Linked DNA regions of Rhinolophus ferrumequinum. The protein of the gene in region 1 interacts with the protein of each later gene in a pairwise test. Links are inferred from orthologs where the notes say so. Each region holds a gene or a part of one and is shown on either strand. Other genes may lie near its edges.

Evidence for each region.
Region 2: the proteins of ERLIN1 (region 1) and AGR3 interact in binary tests that used the Homo sapiens proteins (3 or more experiments, as listed by UniProt). The two-hybrid records come from large-scale screens. The link is inferred for Rhinolophus ferrumequinum from reciprocal best matches to the Homo sapiens genes ERLIN1 and AGR3.

The regions. Positions count from the first base shown.
Region 1 is NC_046299.1:24,341,531-24,351,766, forward strand, and holds the start of ERLIN1 (erlin-1), read left to right. Parts: upstream 1-5,994; 5' UTR 5,995-6,813; intron 6,814-7,085; 5' UTR 7,086-7,096; coding exon 7,097-7,209; intron 7,210-8,969; coding exon 8,970-9,051; intron 9,052-10,236. Other genes in the region: CHUK (inhibitor of nuclear factor kappa-B kinase subunit alpha), read left to right, coding at 312-448, 2,464-2,563, 3,315-3,344. UniProt on the Homo sapiens protein: Component of the ERLIN1/ERLIN2 complex which mediates the endoplasmic reticulum-associated degradation (ERAD) of inositol 1,4,5-trisphosphate receptors (IP3Rs).
Region 2 is NC_046303.1:22,233,946-22,244,069, forward strand, and holds the start of AGR3 (anterior gradient protein 3), read left to right. Parts: upstream 1-6,220; 5' UTR 6,221-6,479; intron 6,480-8,952; 5' UTR 8,953-8,979; coding exon 8,980-9,088; intron 9,089-10,124. UniProt on the Homo sapiens protein: Required for calcium-mediated regulation of ciliary beat frequency and mucociliary clearance in the airway. Might be involved in the regulation of intracellular calcium in tracheal epithelial cells.

The DNA.
Region 1 (10,236 bases):
TGGTATCCCACCCCGGTTTGGGGCTAGATGTGTCTGACTAGTTAATAAACCATTTGTTCAACTGTTGTTTTTTTTTTTCCCTTCCTCCAATGAAAGTGGAATTTGATGGGTAGATACATTTGGTTTTAGTCAATGAAGAAAAGGGCTGGGGACAGGACAGTTAGTAGCGGTGTGTACAGGTGGGGATAGTTTTGTGCAGAATACTCTGATTGTGCACATAAGTAGCAATGGAAGTGTCTTAAGAATATGGTAGGAAATTGTATGAATCAGTGGAGGTGCTTGCCTTTAATCTTATTTTTATTTTTCTGCAGACACAGAGTTCAGCCCGGTCCTTGGTAGGATCCAGTCTAGAAGGTGCAGTGACTCCCCCTCAGGCATCAGCATGGCTGCCCCCGACTTCAGCAGAACGTGAACATCCTCTGTCATGTGTGGTAACTCCTCAAGATGGGTGGGTTCACTTTGTAACAATAGATAGTTGTGTTTTCAAGAGCAGTCGTAGAAATGAGGCAGTAGAGCACAGTGGTTGAAGCATAGTCTTCAGTGCCATTTAGAGCAGGGTTGAGTCCTGACTGTCCCTTTGTAATAACCTTGTGCAATTAATTTGACTCTTTTACTGTTCATATATCCTCACCTGTACAATTGGACCTGTTGTGAACATTGGATTAGATGATGTATGTAAAGTGTTGGGAAATAAATATTCAGCAGATGTTAATCATTATTAGCTCAATCCAAGTTCTAAGTTCTCTCTCTGTTATTGGTTTATCAATTCTTTTACCCAAACTTTATTCCTTCCTTAACCATTTGTCACTGAGAAATCATGCTATCTTTTTGCATTTATCATTTTGGGGACCTTGATCATCTCTCTAATGAATTGCTGAGTTGAATCTACTCTATTTTATAACTTAGTATTTCTAATATCAAACTTTTTTCAGTGCCTTAAATCAGTTTTGCTAATAGGAACTGAAGTTTGAAGTCTTTTATTAATCACTAACTCTTCTGCTAAAAGCTGAATGACTATCCATCTGTTATTTTTCTCAGCATTAGATGTGCCACAGCCAGAGCAGGTGGCTCTTTGCTAGCTTGTGTATTGTTGCTTTTCTCACAACTCCCGGAGACTTCTACAGCAGCAGCATTTCCCTGGAAGCTCTGCCCATAATTAGTTTTGCAGATGTGTAGCCATGTTCCATCACTGCTCAGGAGGTCATGCGGTTGCATATTCTGTCCTCTACTTTTATGAGAGAAAAGTACATGGCAGGAAGGCAAACTGATATCAGGTATTTTATTTTTTTAAAGAAAGCAAGTTCCAGGGGTCATTATAAACTTGGCCCAATGTAATACAGCCACAGCTACAGCACAGGCTGTAATTAATTATTATAGACTTCAGGAAATACTCCATTAATCAGAGTTAAATAAAATTGAATACATTACTAACACTTTTGTTTTCATTAAAGACTTTTAGGTTTGTTAGGGGATGCTAATGGTTGCAAATGTCACCTCTATACAGGGAATTTCCAATTTGATGTTGTGGTTCGCGTAAGTATATTGGAAAGGAATTTTAAATATACTTTCCAGTAGGAATATATTATAAAGGAAAACTGATTTCAATTAGTATGTACCAGTGGTACTTAATCACCATGGATCGGGAACTATTGGCCTTAATTTTGCCATCTGTTGAATAAGAGCTGAATTAGAGTTTAGTTCTAAGCTAATAGTGGCTATCATCCATAGCCTACAACTGATTCTAGTAGGTAGGGACTCTGACGGTTAGTAAAAGGTGAGGAGAGGGGCTCTAGGGAAAAGGAAAGCATGGAAGGAGAAAACCAGAATCAGGATTTCCTTCCAATACAAACTTCCAGGGATACTTCTTGGTTCTGGGCAGCTTCCCTGTCACGCTGTTTTCTTTTGCTGTCCTCAGAAATCAGCTTGCTTGTTTCCTTTTTCATTGCTGTCACCTGTAGTTTCCAATCAGTCCACCTTCCCTGATCTTTGCAGAACAGATTGTACTTTTGTATGTTCTCCCTTGCATTTGTTTCTCTGAAATAAGCATGCTGTTTTTACTACTTGTAAGGAAAAGGATATACTCCAGAAACAAAATGAGATCTTTCATCTGTCTGTGCAATAAGGATCTTTTTTCCCCCCAGTTAGCATTTTCGGAGGTTGTGGAGGGGGGAGTTGTATATAAGTGCCACTTATATTTCAGACAAAAATCAGATTGGAGTAATAGTGGACTTCTTATCATTAGAGCTGGGCAGAGGCAACACTTGGCGTAACAAGCAGGACTGTGCCTCTGAGTGCCTGTGAGTGGGAAGGATGAGGAAACTGGAGACTACAGGAATCAGCTGCATTGGGGGTGCTGGGTTGCAGGAAAGGCTTTGATCATCCTGACCCTGAAGACCAAAAAATAGAGGAAATTCATATGCCCCTTTGCTGAATTTGAAAAGACTTTGTTTTTTCATCCCACAGGGAGACTTTGGCACAAATGATAGAAGAAAATTTGAACTGTCTTGGCCATTTAAGCACTATTATTCATAAAGCAAATGAGGAACAGAGCAGTAGAATGATGGTGAGTTTTTATATGGATGTGGATATGTGTTTTAGGTATGTTGGGTGCAAAGGGTTTAACTTTCCATGCTAGTTTTACCTTGCATTTCTCAGAGGAAAGAAAAAGAGCATTCAAGGAATATCCTTGACCTCAAATCCCCATCTTCTCTTATTTATGGTTGTACTAGGATTGTATCATCTTATCAGTAATCTTCAACAGTAGCATTTTTGGTCAAATTTGATTTAATTTAATGAATGTGAGCTTTCTTTGCAATGTGACCATTGAGATTGAATGGTTTGTATCTTTTTGTTTCAGCAATCAATTTTCTCCAATAAGATGGGACAGGATTTATATTATAATTCAGATACAGTAATTGCTGTATACAAAATGAATACTGTTACTATAGTTGTAATTAATAGTTTTTATATTAAGAAGATTTAGTTACTACTATGAATCACTCATTTGTTAAAACTTGGAGAAACTACAATAAAGTGTTGACTGAACTAACCTACTATTATTTAGTCTTGATGTCAACTCTGTATATTTCTTCTTTTATTAATTATTTGCTTCAAATATTTATGAAAACTTTGAAGTATGTTTTGAATTAGCAGAAAATATAGTAAACAACACTAATTGTAACCTATTTATAGTTTTGATTTTTCAACTTTTGATTATAAAATGCCCAAACATACAGAAAATCTGTAAAAATGAACCCATAAATCTACCACTTATAGTCAACATCTAATTGTAACTTTTTCATGCCTGGTTTTAGAATCTTGATTGGAGTTGGTTAACAGAATGACTTGCCACTTATTCACTGTCCCAAACCTTTGGAAGTTGTTGCACGTGTTGGAAATTTGTTTTTCTCCCATGAGACCCTTCTTCAGATACCATTCAATGGAAGAAATGGCTGTGATAAAAAAACTACACGATTTTACAAGAGCAATATTTTGACTTTTGGTAATCATAACCCCTGAACTGACAGAATTTGTTTAAATACTACAGCTACTTAGCTATCATTGCAATCCATTTGTCTTTAAACTTCGTAAAACATAACTGTTTAAAAATATCTTTTAACACTTAACTTTTGGGCATTAGGCCAAAAGTAATACCGGGGGTGCCAAAAAATGTATACAAGTGGACACTTTGGTCACCATTGCTCAATCAGTAGTTCGCCATAATCAAAAGTGTCTGGACACTGATGGTAACTACTTTGAGCACCTCTTGTAATTGCAGAAGTCAAAGGTGACTTGTATTCATTTTTTGTTAACGGTGTATGTTGAGTATTACAATTTTAATAGTTTTTTCCTTTCCTAAAATGTACATACACTTTTTTTGGCACCCTCTGTATATACAGAGAAGAAACCTCAATATATGTTCTAAGTAAAAGTTGTCTACCTGTGTTTCTGTGGAAGAGACTGCTCACAAGTCAAATTGCACTTCTTGAAGAATACCCCTACCTCCTTGTGTTGCACTCAGCAGTGCTCTTCCTGGCATCATAAGGAGTTGGGTCAATCCCATTTTCCATTTTACTGCACATTTGACAGTATTCCTTTCCTATAGGAGGGATTGTGTATCTGTGCCTTCAATACCAATTGACTGATAAATCTTAAGTGTTCTATGTGTATATGTATTTAAGATGTACATTTAGTAATATCAAAGAGATGCCTGTTAATTTATAATGTATTTGAAAGCTTATTTTTTTTCATTTGTAAAAATGGGTCATTTGTTTCAGGAATCTTTCATGTCTTGTACAAATTTATAAAGGTCTGCATGCCCTTATCTGTGATTCCAGAAAGCTTTGAAAACAAGGTTTTTCAGAAGCGTGATGACAAAACTCGCAAATTAACATGAAGTAACACTGAACATACTTATCCCATTTAGTGTGAATATTCATTTATTTTGCTGTGGAAATATTAACATGTTTGATTATTCGGCGGGGGGAAGGGTGCTGCCACAGACCCTGCTGGAGGTTTATGTAATATGGCATATGCACTGAATTATGTTTCTAAAATCTGAAAATTTCTAATTCTGAAACATTTGGCCCTAACAATTTCAGATTAAGGATTGTGGATCTATCATCTGTTAAGTAATTTAGAAGATACTGTTTTTTTAAAAAAATGTGAAATGCTTTTGTATTATAGTTTTTCACTTTGTGTATTAAATGATTTTTAAATTACTTTTTGACTCTATTCATTAAAATCAGATGAATACAGGTGACCCTTGAACAATGAGTGGGGTTAGGGGCATCAAGTCTCACGCAGCAGAAAATCCACATGGAACTTGTGACTTTACAGTTGGCGCCTCGCATCTGTGGATTCATCCAACCGAGGTTGGGAATGCGAAAATACCATTTTTGATCCATGGAATTTGCAGACACGAAACCCACAAATAAGAAGGGTTAACTGTATTTATTGAAAACAAAAGTGCATGTAAGTGGATCCACACAGTTCAAACGTGTGTTGTTCAAGGGTCAACTGTAGTTGAATATGATTTGGGAAAATTTCAAGTTTCCATGAATTGGAACTGGAGCAGAGGATAACGTAATAGGCTCTTACTGTATTTTCCTGTATGGAATTATACAGGATGTATAGTAAAGACCATATTGGGTAGCTGCTTTAATATAGTGCTTTCACCTGAGATGTCCTGTCACCACTATTCATGTCTAAAAACCATGCTCATATCTTGCCCTATAAATTTAGACACACCATCCCTATTTTTTCTAGTAGTGTCATTTTCCCAGTCATCTAAGTTTGAAACCTTGGGTTGTCTTCTAACTTTTTAGTCATCTGATACTGTTACTGGCACAGGGAGGGGTTCCTTGCCCCTCTCAGACTAGAAATCAAGAGAGTGCGTGAAACAGTTCTGCAAAGAGAAAACAGAGACTGGAACAAGTTATTTTTCATTCTTTTTGCTTTTCGTTAGTTAAAAAAGCTAAGCTCTGCAGATACCACCTATCTGGAACCAACAAGGTCCTGGACATTCCTAGGTAGTAAGAGTCAAATGAATGATACAGGTAAATGCACTTATTGAGGGGAGAGGGTAAAGTGGTCTGGGAGGGCTTGCTTTCATGAAGAATTGATTCTATTTACCCCTTCCTGTTTCCAGTTACTGCCATTGTAACTTTGGGCCCGCAATTGTCTAACCACTTTGCTTCCCTGCCTCCAGTCTGTGTCTCTCCTCTAAGCCATTTTGCAGACTCACTGGCCCTAAAGCACTGCTTTCCCATACTTCCCTGCCCAAGACGTTACAGAGTCCTTAAATCTTAGCCTACTTGTCCAGTTGTGCTCCCACTGCTAGCCTTCCAAGGCTTACAGGAACCATTCTTGCCCAACCTACTCTAATATGCTGCACTTATTTCCCTTGTATTTATCCATCTCACTCCCATCTCTACTCTTTAACTTTGTCCTTTTTGTTTTGGGTAACATGCACATAATGGATATTGTAAAAGAAAAGAAGAATATGCAGTGAAAAATTCTGTAGCCATCCAGTACCCGCTCCCTGAAGAAAAAAGTGCATTTGAGTCTTTCAAAATCTGAGCCTAGCCTAGCCTACCATCCTACTTTCCATCATACTGGCTTCAAGGAAGCTCAAATGCTCACTGTTGTAGTGTTTTCCTGGAGGACGCTGTTCCTATTGCTTGGATGGCCTTCATAAAGCCCTCTTTGGATCATCACTCTGGCATAATAAGTGCTCAGAAAAATACTTGATGAGTGAATATGCGGTTAGATTGAGTATCTTCCTCTTCTGAACTTCCACCTTACTTGGCAGTAAGTCTGGTTGCTCCTGAATTCAGTGCAGGATCTGTCCCTGAAGCACATGCTTGCCACATAGAGTTCGGTATAAACCACAAAAGGTCATAAAACGGAACAGCTACCACACTGAGTGTAGGGGCGGGTCTCTGCAAAAGAACAAGAGGCCCTCTGCTTTCTCTGCATCCCTTATTCCAGATTCCCGACTTCTCTTCTGGAGCAGGAAACCAGCAGTGCACAAAACAGAGCCTCCGTACCTTCAAGGGAAATTGCGCGGAGGGCAGCCGGGAGAATTTTGTCCCGTCCGCTCCCCGTCTCTGGTGGCAGGGCGAGCACTGCGTCGGCGTGCGTGCCTGCGCAGCCGCAGGGCTGGGCGAGTGGGCGGGGCCGGCTGTTGGCGGCGGTTGGCGTGGCCGGGGAGGCGGCTGCACGTGCGGGCGGGGGCGATGCGTCACTGATCGGTGAGGCGCCGCGGAGGGGTCGGATTGCCTTCGAACTCTGCCCCTGGCCCCCTTCTCAGTTAGTGCATTCTGCGGGGGGGCGGGGGAGCGGCCACTGGGAGCTGGGGGTGTCACGACGATTACTGAGCAGGGGCGGCCTGCGGGCCGCCTCCGGCGGAGAGGTTGGCGAGGAGAGAACGGGTTCTGCGAGGAGGAAAGAATGAGGGAAAAGAGGCACAGGACTCCCGGCTCGGCCTGCGGGAGGGAGCCAGTTGTCCGGATGTAGAGGGTGGAAACGAGGGGGTAGGCTTGTCGCTCACGGGCCTTGGGGTCCTTTCCTCCTTCATTCAGGAGGAACAAGCATGAATATGACTCAAGCCCGGGTTCTGGTGGCTGCAGTGGTGGGTCTGGTGGTTGTCCTCCTCTACGCCTCCATCCACAAGATCGAGGAAGGACACCTGGCTGTGTACTACAGGTGAGCAGCGTGTGCAGCCCGCTCAGCTTCTCCGGCAGGTAGAAAGGGGACTCCCGGGAGAGGAGCATCTAAGAAGTTGTTTCCTCTGTAGCGTCCGGAGAGCCTTCTCCAGTCCTAGAAAGTGATTTTCGTCCCAGCCCTAGGGAGAGTATGGGGGGGAAAGGAAGGCTTTTGCAGAGCCCCCTCCGGGTGGTGGACAGCTTTAGTACTATGTCCATTTGGTGCCAAGGTTAAGAGTCCCTCCAGTTATTCCTGGTAGACAGTAAGTGCAATCATTTGTAGAAAAAAGACAGGCAGGCAGGCAGAGGTCACTCCACCTGTAACTGATGAAATGGATAAATTGTCGTATTCCGTACAACTGTGCAGGCTTTCAGTTTGCAGCTTTAGATTCAATTTAGAACTTGGCTTGGGTCGCGTTTGTGATGGTTCTTTAGATTTTTTTTTTTCTTTTAAAAGCCCGTAGTGTCTGGTTTTGGCTTATAAGGCCAAATAATGATGACCATGACAATTGTTTTTACTCGTATGTCTTCCCTGGACCTGGAGAGAGAAACACAGCATTGATGGACCACCCGCCTGCCACCTTACCCTTTCTTTTCAGGTTGAGGAAAGAAATGGTGTGGAGTGTGTTGCTCTCTAGTTGAGCTCGAATAGCTTTTCCTTCAACATAGTACCACCAATTCTTTTTGATATAGACAGAGGACAGTCTGCAGAAATTGTGCTAATGCTGTATTTGAAAGGGCTTCCACTTCTGGTTTCCATCATCCTCCCAAAGTGGTATTTTCTACTTTTCGATCCATTCTGAGTCCTAGAAACAGTCTTCTCTGTGAAACGCTAGTTTCAAATACAAGTGTAGTGATATGTCTTAGCAGATGGAGGTCTAGCATAAAAAATGACAGATTAGTCCATATTTCCGTCTTGTCTTGGCAGTAAAACCAAGGAAAATGCATGGCTCTCAAAGAATTTAGGGATGGACCTAAAACAGGTCATCCTTTTCAAGTTATTAGTTAACGGATTTTTTGCAAACCTGTGTCTGTTTTCAAGATACAAACTTAAGTTCTATGAAGTTATTCTTCACAATGTAAAATAGGACTTTTTTTATATCTGCCTCCAAAATGCCTCCCTTTTATAATTTCCAAGATGTGCTTTCATAGTTATCACATTCCAGCATTTGGTAAATAAGTCCACGCTTACATCCTATCTATTTATAGTTGTATTCCCTTACCCTTTATCTTTCTATGCTAATTTTTTGTTGTTTATTATATAGACTTTATATCCCCAGTATTTTAATTGCCTTGTAGGTAGATTAAAAGATTCTTGAGCCTTCGAAGTTCTCTCCTCCCTTGAAAGTTTGTGTCATTTTTTTTTCAACATAGTGATTAAATGTATTATGTTTTGAACTCGTGTTATGTGCAATTAAAGTATAGCAACTAAGAGCCTTAGAATTTTTTTTCACAAGTACTTCTCAGATGGTTAAAGACCAAGGAGAATCCTTCCTACCTGAGTGCAGTGCTGGAGACCCAGAGGTATGGTTGGTCGAGCTTATGAAACAAGCTGTAACATCGGCAGCTTAATGTGATCCTTTCACCTTGTTAGCTGTGGCAGATATTTTAGGGACCAGCAGTTGTTCATTGTGAGTAATTCATATTAGTGAAGCTTTAATAGGTCAGCAGCATGAGTAAGAGTGAATATTTATTACAGCATTTTAGATTTGGAAAGAGCATTTCTCTATAATCTTGTCAAATTGAAACATCTTTTTGCAGGGGAGGAGCTTTACTAACTAACCCCAGTGGACCAGGCTATCATATCATGTTGCCTTTCATTACTACGTTCAGATCTGTGCAGGTGAGTGATTCTTAGGAAAGCCTCCACACTGGATAGACAGGTGTGACAGGAACAGTTACAACATTTGTGGGTGGAGATACATTTCCTTATTGCTTAAGCAGATGGTGGTATTTACTTAAATGCAGAAATTAAAGTTCAAAGTACAGTTGTCACAGCACAGGTTATGATTTTGAGCCACCTCACTCTTTTTGAAGTATATAAGCAGTAATACCTATGCAGCTTGGAAAAACTGACTAGAACTGATTTCTCCCGTCTATATAGTGGTGTTTTCTGTTGATGCAGTGAAAATAAAATCAGGACTTTAGAACACACTTAGAAATACAAATCAGTGATCACTTGGTGTAGAACAGTGTTTGGTTTCCATAGAGGCAAGCTCTTGGGCTACTGTTAACATGGTGGATCTGAATTTTAATACACAGCTTTTCTGCCTCACATTTTTGTCTGGGACATTCAGCACAATATTATGTGGAACCTTAGTGAATGTTCTATTTTGATAGCATTCCAGAATATTGGAAATAGCGTCTGATCATTGAGAACAGTGTCTTGGCCATGGGAGATACTTATTAAATATATCTTGACATAAGATGACAAAACAGGATTTTATTGTGACTACTCTTGCACACTCAGTGTGATTATAAATCTTTGAATTCAGAAATTTGTCTACTATCTGCTGATTTTTCGAGACTCAGGCAAATTTTAATGTATTTATCTTGTAATTTAAGTCGAGGCTTCCCACTAAGTTAGAGTTTCATTATGAATACTTAAATTCTCCAGGTTTCCTTCCAATTCCCTTTTAGATGGCTTAGGGCAAGAATTGTGTCTGTTGAAATGAAATGTGTTCTTCCTTTAGTCAGACCGATTTCCGTATTGTTTTCTTATATTTATTTTATTCACTCTTGCCTTGGTTCATACTGTCACCTCTTCTCTCCCCATTTCTCCCTTCCTTCCTTCTCTCTTGTCTGTGAATTGCCAGCCTTCTAAAGGCTCATCGCAAATCCCTCTCCTTCTAATCTATAGCTCTTAAAGTCTGTATTGTAAATTTTGTCCCGTGGTCTTATTTCTCTTAATAATGTTGTCTTGTATTGTTCTCTAAGTTTTGTGTGTCTTTTTCAGAGAGTCTCCAAGCTTCTTGAAGTAGGGGTTGTTAACCCACTTATATTCCTGACCATTCTATTTGTGAAAGTT
Region 2 (10,124 bases), on another chromosome or scaffold:
CATATATATATATATAAATTTCAAGAGACTTAGATTGGCCTCAAATCTTTCATCTACACTAAACAGTAAAGGACACTGTATGCCAAATAAGTAGAACACTAAACAGCTACATCTAGAATTTATTGAACCACAAATAATTTAACATCCAAGCAAGCTCTTACTCACATGAGTTAAACAGAAAGACATTCTAGACTTACACAGATCAATACATATCACCCATGTATCCTTGCTCCAAAATTCTACAAAACAGACCAAAAAATTCCAATGAGAAAGACATGACGTAAGAGAAATATCAATGAGAATGAAACCAACGAAAATAAATGTCAAAAAAGCTTGAAAGTTTAATTATGAAACAAGCGAATGCTAAATAATTTTATCAATTAGGATACTGCTGACTAAAAGTGACAGAAAATTTTGACTTAGCTGGCTTAAACAATAGAAAAAAAGGTATTTTTGTAGAACGAGTCCTAAGTCATGATGATTCCAAGGACAGTTAAAACAATGACTCTGACATGTACACACACACACACACACACACACACACACACACACACACACACAGATTCTTTCCTTCTTCCTATCAGTCTCTTTAAAGTACATCAACTTTGTCCTCTTTAACCACCCTCATTACATCAAGGTGGTTACCACAGTTCCATCTATTACATCCAGACATGATATATAATCGAAAAGGGCCATTATCTTTACATTTATTGACTTCTATTCATGACAAAAACTTCTCGTACATTTGCCTTCGTATTTCACTGGCCAGAATCATATCACATGTTCATGCTTACACCAACACTGGTTTAGAATGGGACCACCATGACTTGGTTAAAATAGACCAGAAGTTTTCAACCTCAACACTATTGACATTTGGGCTGGATGATGCTTTGCTGCAGGAGCTGTCCTGTGCTTTGCAGGGTGTTTAAAATCATCCCTGGCCTCTACCCACTAGATACCAGTAGCATCCTCTCCAGTTGTGACAATCAAAAATGTCTCTAGATATTGCCAAATACCACTGGTTGAAAACCACTGGAATAAACTCATCAAGATTTCCCTCTGATGCCAGCTATAGGGCCCACCTCCTCTAAATATACAACAGCACAGAAATAAGGGACTATCTGAAGGAAATCATTGTCTTTCATAAAAGAAGCATGTATGAAAGAAAAATAGTCATAAGTAAGCAACCAAAGGTATTTAGTACAGCAATTCTTTAAAAGGGACCTACAGCAAATGTAAACTATGAAATTAAAATCCTGTATTACCTGAAACAAAACAGAGGGAACATAAATGAAGAGCTTTAGCAGGACTGAGGACTGTTAGTGTATTGGTCACTCCTCAAGCACACAAAACATCAATCTGTATTTACAAAATTATAATATGCAATTTAGTTGACTTGTAGAATATGTTTTTAAGCATGGATTTGCATTGAGGATTTGTACGTACAATATTTATTCCCTAAGGACCCTGACCAAGTATTGCATTCGGCTGTGTGAAGTAGAAGATCCTCTTTCAGGGAACGTTCCTCTATTAACATGTTTTGAAATTATCAAAACAAAATGATTCCCTACACAAAGATATATAATTCCCCTAGAAACATAATTTATTGTGTGGCTTGGTGCTTTCACATCTGCAGCTCGTGAATATAATTTAGCTTTTACAGATTAAACCATAGCCTTTAAATTCAAAGTTGTAAATGTCATTACAAACATTATATTTGCCATCTTAAGATTCTTCGTTCTCCACTCTCATGATAAGACCACACCCACACTCTCTCCAACTCTTTAAATGGAGCCGGCTGTCCCACACATCATCCAAGAGACCTTGAATCCCCAGACCCCACTGTCTATTCCTCTCCTTCCCTTTGTTCTGTTACTCCCTGGCTCTGCTTTCTTCTTCCCATTCATTTGGTAGCTACTCTACTGCTCTCCATTCATTTGGTAACTATTTTTGGATTGGAGGCAGACTTGCTATGGCTGCCTCTCAACTCTGCACACTCCATTTTAATTTCACCCATAATTTCCAAAACAGGCTCTCCACAAACTGTAACTAGGGAAACTGAGTGGCCAGTCTAGGTCCCTGATCTCCCTCCATGAAAAGAAAAATGCTCTGCCTATTCAAGGCATAGAGACATTTTTATGGATAAAAGCAAAATGTTACCCCCACAGGCTACAGGGAAGAGCTTAATTGAAAGACTTGAATCTAATCCGAAAGCTACATTCATGATTCTATTTAATCTTATGTGGCCCACAGGGCAAGAAGCAAGGAATAAATCCCGAGTACATTCATATTGTGAAAAATAGCACATGTTTACGAAGTGTTTGGTTGTACTACTCTGAAAAAGAGACTTGAGATGCTTAAATAAAGAGTTGTTATTTTGCAATAGGAAATGGAACTATTCTTGACGGAGCAAGAATCTATAGGTTGCTGACACAACATGAGAGGCTTATAAAAACACTATGATTTTAAATGTTTGTTATAAAATAACACTGCTCAATAACAAATTCTGGAGATAGCTATTCCTTTAATCCACAGAATCTTTTTTTCTAGAAACAAAAATTTTTTAAGTATTTTCTTCTACAGGATTTAGCAAATAAAGACAGTTAAATGTTCTCTACAGAATAGTCTTTCTCTTTTATTTATTAGTTTCATGAAATTACCAGTTCTGAGATAGTAGGATATTAAATGTTATCGAAAATAGAAGGTCAGAAATATTGATAGAATGACATCATTTGTGTTAATAAAAAATAGGAAGATATATACAGAGATGATAGATAAATCAATTAGATAAATAGATAATAAATGGATAGGGACATGCTTAAATATAAATAAATTATTTCTGGAAGAAGGCTCAAGAAGTTGATAATTATTGCCTCCAGTTAGAAGATGCATAGACTGGAAAGTGGGTGGGAAAGAGATCTATTTTCCACTGTCGACCTTTTTGTACTGTTTTTGTTTTTTATGTATTCTGAGATACTGACAAACTAAAACATAAACAGACAGATGGACACACAAATACACAAAGTGGATAGGTAAATCCTAACCTAAAATTCAATTTATGATTTATGTAACCAATTAATCTTATGAAAATATGGGTCACTAGTCTTGAAAGAATTAACGCCAAATGTGGACTATCGTGACTAATTAAAGAGCCTTTATTTAATTGGATAAATTACTATTCTGTTCCCAAATGAAACAGAAAGGACCTACAATTTTGTAGCTTGGAAATTTAATAAAACATTTAAAATAGATGTTTCTAAAGAAAAGAATAAATGAATGAACTAATCAGAAACAGTCTCAGAGACATAGAGGAAAAACTGAGGGTTGCTAGATGGGAGGGAGGGTGGGGATAAGGAGGAAGGTGAGGGGATTAGAAAGCACAGTCGGTAACCACAAAATTGCCACGGGGAAACGAAAGTCAATTTGGGGAATGTAATCAGTAATGTTGTAAAGATTTTGTAGGGTATCCAATGGACACTTGTCACATTAGGGAGACCACCTAAGGGATGATGTAGATGCCTGATCACTGCACTGTACACCTGAAGCTGAAGCTGAACAATAATGAATGTCAACTATAATTATACATATATGTATATATATGTATATATATGGAAGCGGAGTACAGCATTAAGAATAGAGACAGTGGAAATGTAATGGCTGTGTGCAATGTCAGAGGGGTAGTGCATGGGGGATAGGGGGTTGTCACTGTGTGAGGGATATAAATGATAAATGTCTATTACATTGTTTTGTGCACCTGGAACTAATAAAAAAATATTTAAAAATAAATAAGTAAAATAAAATAGATGTTTCACCTTATAAAACTGAAGAAAGGACTCTAAACAGAGACTAAAAACAGTATTTGAGATAATTTTTAAATAAGATTAAAAGTAGAATTGAAACTATCCTCCACTGAAATAAATTTTCTCGAGCTTACCAGGTAACCAAGCACCTACAGGAAGATTAATTTTTAAAAATTAAATTTTTAACTTAATTAAAAATAGTATGGTTTACAGAGACATACCAACTGAAGCTGATGACAATTTCAACTATACTATTTACCACGAGGACAACTTTGAAGGTGATTGCAGGCAATTTTATAAAAAGAGTAAATATAAGATCCCATTGAAAAAATAAAGACCAATAATACCAGAACAATCTTCAGAAAAATACCAGCCACCCAGTATCAGAGACAAGCATGGTTAAGAAACCAATTAACAAACATATACAAAGAATAATTTTTAAAATTTCAACATAATGTGCATGAATGTACTTTTTAAATTTTTAACTTTTGAGAATAATGTTCAAGAGTACTCTTTGTGATCCATTATATAAGAAAACCAGTTTGAGCTGACAAATATATTTCAAAATCTTATTTTAAAAATTAAATAATTCCAATAGATTATGTTACCTCCTTTTACTCTCAAAGTTGTCCTGTTTTAGAGGATATATTACATAGTTACACTAATGGGTGGGAACAAAACATGTTGATCAGCTCAGACATAGGACTTAGTTTCACTGCCTCTTAGGCATTTGACTTCTTTCTCATTCTCTTCTCATTATCTATTAAAATACATTATGTGAGGAGTTTAGCAGGGATGTCAGAAGATTTTGAGAATTTTCTATAAACCACTGCTTGTCAAGAACAAGGAGAAAGCACTTCCACTCTCCTCTGTAAGAGGATCACTGCCCAGTTGTTTCTTTGCTTGGAAATTCTGGGTTTGAAATTAAAATTGTAAGTCAAGTTTCTTAACCTTCAGCAGAAAGAATTCTATCTGAATAGCATGTCCCAAGGAAGGTTCCCTTTGAGAATCCTTTATAAGAAAGAAAGCACAGCTTAAACGAATAAATAAGTTAGTGGTATAGTGCGAGACTACTACAACCTGGCTACATGGGGTTTCTCTCAGGATCACAAGGAAAGTTCAATTAAGAAAACTATAAATTTACTATATGAAATTAGAAAACCCCTACATCCATCTTTGTAGAACAAAATCCAACATCCCTGCTTTTAAGAGATGTAGTATAGGACTATGAAATGTCTCCCTTCTTAACGTAGTGAATCAAACCAGCGCTATGTCTGAAGTTACAATACGAGAAGCACATTCACCTTGATGTCAGAAGCAAGACAACCATCACCCGCCCCCTTTAACAATGCATTTGTTAATATATTGAGTAATTAGACAAAATGACTGATAGAGAGGAAGGAGGGAGGGAGGGAGAAAAGGGAAAGAGTGAAGAAGGCAGGGAGGAAGGAAGGAAGATTATTGAACAATAGGCTAGATTAGGGAACAAACGTATTCTGTAAAAGGCCAGATAGTAAATATTTTAGGGTTTGCAGGTTATTCAGTTTCCATCACAGTACTCAACTTTGCTGTTATAGTACAAAAGTAACCATAGACAATACATAAGGAAATGAACATGACTGTACTCCATCCACTAATCGTTATTTATCTACACTGAAATTTGAATTTCATGTTTCACATGTCACAAAATATGATTCTTCTTTTGATTTTTCCCAATCATTTAAAATGTAAAAACAGTACTTAGCTCCCAGGTTGTACAAAAACAGGTGGGCCAGATTTGGTAACCCTCTCCTAGATCATTTTAACAGTAATTAATTCTGGGAAGTGAAAGTGTGTCTCTGTGTGTGTGTGTGTGTGTGTGTGTGTGTGTGTGTGTTTGGTGGGGTGCACAAGAAAAGTACTGGTGAAGGGAGAAGAGAATTTTACTTTTTATTTGGTACAACTCTATACTTGGAAAAAGTTTTACCATAATTATGGATTAATTAGAAAAAAATTTAAATATAGCTATTAGATAAATATAAACAAACTTATCTAATTGCCTGTTTTCCTATTTTTTTGTATAGTAAGGTAAAGGTTTTTATTAAGACTGTAGAGTAATCAAATTATTAAAATGTTGAATTTTAAAACAGCATTCTCTCTCTCTCTCTCTCTCTGAAGAAAAAAGGACCTGGTCTCTTTAGCTGTTAATTGCATTCCTGTAAACAGAGTAACCCTTAGGAATTCCTGTTTGCTTTATATCTAATCTGCAAGCCTCACTGAACTTTCATCAAGAACAATGGTGTACACACAGTTCCTACATTCATACCAGTTCCTTTCTCCCCACTTTTTTTTTTCTGGTGTTGAACTCCCGCCAAACATTAAATTACCTTGGGAAGTAAAAGGTAAACGAGAAAAAAGCCCAAAGATTGTATTTGGCCTCATTTTCTGAGGACACTCAATCTTAACTTAGAGAAAGAGAGAAGAGTTTATTTTAGCGTGAGAAGCATGAGAACTGCAATGAAACACAGGGTTTTTCAGACAAGCCCCTTTTTTTAGTTTGCAGGTGACTGACTGCTCTTGTTTCGATGCAGGTGGGGCTGTAGGTCAGGGGTGTGTGTGTGTTTGTGTCTATAAATCCACACCCATTTTAAACCAGAAACATCCAGAATATACTTCCAGCAAGAGCACTGGCTAGTTCAGGTAAGCCAGCAAAATTTCCTGATTATATAATCGGTGGTCAAACTCTGCTACAGTATTTAAGTAATCCGTGTGTCACTATTCAAAAGTAAGATCTTTCAGTAAAGTGTAAGGAGCATTCAATGGACTTGGATATTTTTCTTTTAGAGAACTGGATTTCTTCTGCTGCCTTCATGCTTTTATTCTCTGCTTATATTAATGATACTATAATAAACCAGCATTGGAAAAAAAAACTCTTCAAAAATGATGCTATAAGTAACAATTGTTTTTCCCTGTTCTCCTTTAAATGTTGTTATAATTTAAAATAAGGAATATCTTTCTATAATATCTAAGTAAATGACTTACATCAAATTACTTTTGAAAAGTAAAATACTAGAGTTAGAAAATGCTAATTGGCCAGCGTTTATAACACCTAATTGTAGACGGTTGGTTATGTGCCTCCTAAGTGTGCTGTAAGCGGCTCCAGGGTTGTTAACCATGTAATTCATCAGTGCCCCCCCAAGCAGCTGAACTGTGCTTTTGGTGTTAGAGAACCCTCAGCAGTTCAAGTTCTGTTTCTTTAAGGAAAGCATTGCTTATTCAAAACTAACAATACATAAATTGGTCAGCTTTGTCATGGGATGTATTTAACATCTATTTTTACCATTTATCAAACACTGTAAAATAGAAAATTGGTATTTTGATTGTTTTTTTAACTAGAACAGTCTTCGACAATAGTACATGATAACTTGAATTTTGAAAAAAAAAGCTTGCCAGCTTTAAAATAGGAAAATGGTGAAGTTATACTTTTTCTTTTTCCATGTAGATTCCACCTACTTATCTCTATCTCTACCATAAAGAACCTTTCTGATGCTGCCTCCAGATTTAAGACCCTGCCCTAGATGGTTGCTTCAGTTTCTCCATGGCAACTTTCAACCTGACACAGCTTGCCTTCCCTTCATTGCACTTTGTGTGCTCGAGTCAGCTCTCTCTATCCCCTAGTGAACTTGACCCTTTCTTTGTTTCAGTCTTTAAGGTACAAGATGACAGGTCCTTAAAATAAAAGATGGCATTCTGAAATGTTTTCTGGTATTAATAAGCTATAAGAACTTAAACTGAGGCCGTTATCGTGCACCATGGTGATTGTTTAACAGAGTTTTTCCATAATTGAACACAAAGAAATATAAAATGGGGTTCACTGCAGAGTAGGAAGGGAAATGATTTAAATAGGGCTAGCCTGGAGTGACAACCATTTTCAATCCAAAGGGGAACTGAAGGGAAACATCATTGGCAAGGGAAAGGTACTACAATGAGAGGAATGAGGAAGTGTCTGGAGAAACCTAGAATCTATAAACCTTCCCACCACCAAGTTATCTTCCTCATTAACTACCGTTGCTCTATTACATAAGGATCTTATTACCAGTGTCAAGCAGTAAATTATTGTAAGGAACATTTGTCTTATTAATCTTTCAATTCTCCCACAATGCCTAGTACAGTTACATATAGCAATAGTCATGTTTGGGTAGAATCACAAAACAGTCAATTCGCTATTTTGGTAGGAAGTTCAGTACTAAATAATATAAGTCAACAGGAAAACGGTTTTAAAGGAATTTTAAATCAACGTGAATGATTTCTGTACATTTATCTCATATTTCGAGGTAATTTCATGACTGCATATGTCAACTATTTCACATGGGTTTTATATGCTACAAATAACATTTATCAAATAGTTTAAGGCCAGGTCCAACTCTAGACTTGATTATATCTTAAGATAGTACATTGACTTGAAAAGCCATTTGAATTCTAGTAACCAAGGGAGAACTACAGACAGCAGGTTTGTTCTTTTTTACACATATATTTATAACAATATGACAATAAACTTGATTTCAGAAAGAGCGGGATTGTAAACTGAGGGGTAAAAGGCTGAGTAACAAGTGGAAGGATGAGAAATATAAGAGACTATCAAGGAACAGAATCTTCGTCTTCCACTTTTTCTCTGAAATCTATTGTAGGCAATATTTGTTCATGCCTAATCTTATTACATTGGCGTAGAGTTAAAGTGTTATTTTAATCTATCAGATCAAGAAGAATCAAAAGAATATTTATGCATGCCAGAGGTCACCATTGCATTATTCTTTAGAGATGAAAGACCTTTAACAAATCCTATCTTATTTGAGTTTCACGGTAGAGCTGTGAACACTAGAATGCCCTCAGAAATGAGTTCTGAGTGCCCCAATCCAGTTCTCTTTCAGCTTCATTGTACTGCTCCCACGATGCCCAGAATACGGCTTTTCACCAAGTGGACACTTATTGAGTTGGGTGCATTTTAAAAATATTTTAAAAATAAAATGCGAATGACATTCCAGGAGGTTATACTGTGTCAACTCACACAAGCAGAGCCACCTGTCAGCATAGCTTTTGTCTGACTCGTAACAAATGTCTTAATGACAGCTTGAAGTAACCTTCTAGATTCTGAAAATTATTTTCTGTCGTCTAGCTTTTCCAGAGGGGTTCTCAAGGACACATGATGTTATACTCAGCTTCAGCCCTCTGCCTCTTGCTCGTCGCAGTTTCTTCTAACCTTTCCATTACAATCAAAAAAGAAAAGAGGCCTCCTCAGACACTCGCGAGAGGTACTGGAATCTCATTTTGTTTCCTAAACTCAGTCATTGGGATTATTTTAAAATTCCTCATCTCTTACCCATAATCTCCTTATAAAGCAAACTCAATTAACTGGAATATTTTGTTGTTTACCACTTTAAAATAGGCAAAACAAACCAAAACAGAAGGGTAAGGGGGGAGGGGGATGGTAGATGAGGGTAAAGGGGATCAAATATGTGGTGATGGAAGGAGAACTGACTCTGGGTGGTGAACACACAATGGGATTTATAGATGATGTAATACAGAATTGTACACCTGAAATCTATGTAACTTTACTAACAATTGTCACCCCAATAAACTTTAAAAAACAAAACAAACAAAAAAAAGCAACAACAAAAGCAGAATCAGTTGATTTTAAAAAGTGAACCAAATCAACTGTAAAACAATAACAATTTGCTATATCTTTTACAGAAATAGTGGAAAATTGGTTTCCTATCCTATAGCTTTAATAACCAGAGTTCTGGAAAATAATATTGATTGATATGTCATAACAATGTCCTAAAGGAGATGAATATCCCTCAGAATCTGCTCCAATTCCCTGTTCTCTATTCAGGCAAAAAAATAACAATTTGGAATGATTTTATACAAGGATCCTAGATAATTATACTTTATCCCTCCCTCTGAGAGTTTTGGTTAACCAAGTGTTTGCTATATTGGCTCCTGAAAACAGCTGCAGTGGTTTTAGACACCATGATCTAGATCTATCATTAGCTACATGTTTAGAAAACATTTCTGTACTTACTGTTTTCCTTGGGCCTAAGAAACAAATATATCTTCATCTGCAAAGAAACAATTTATAAAGAAAATCCTTAAAATTGGTTCCTACATTTCCAGGTAATCAACATGGGAACAAAATCATTTGTCTCCAGATAGCTAATTTAACATTAGTAGTACAAACTGCAAAACATGTAACCACTACTTGAAACAGTGATATGAATGGAGCAAACAAATGGAGACCAATTACAGCATCATTTCAAATTTTAAAATATTGACTTTCTTTCCAAGTTC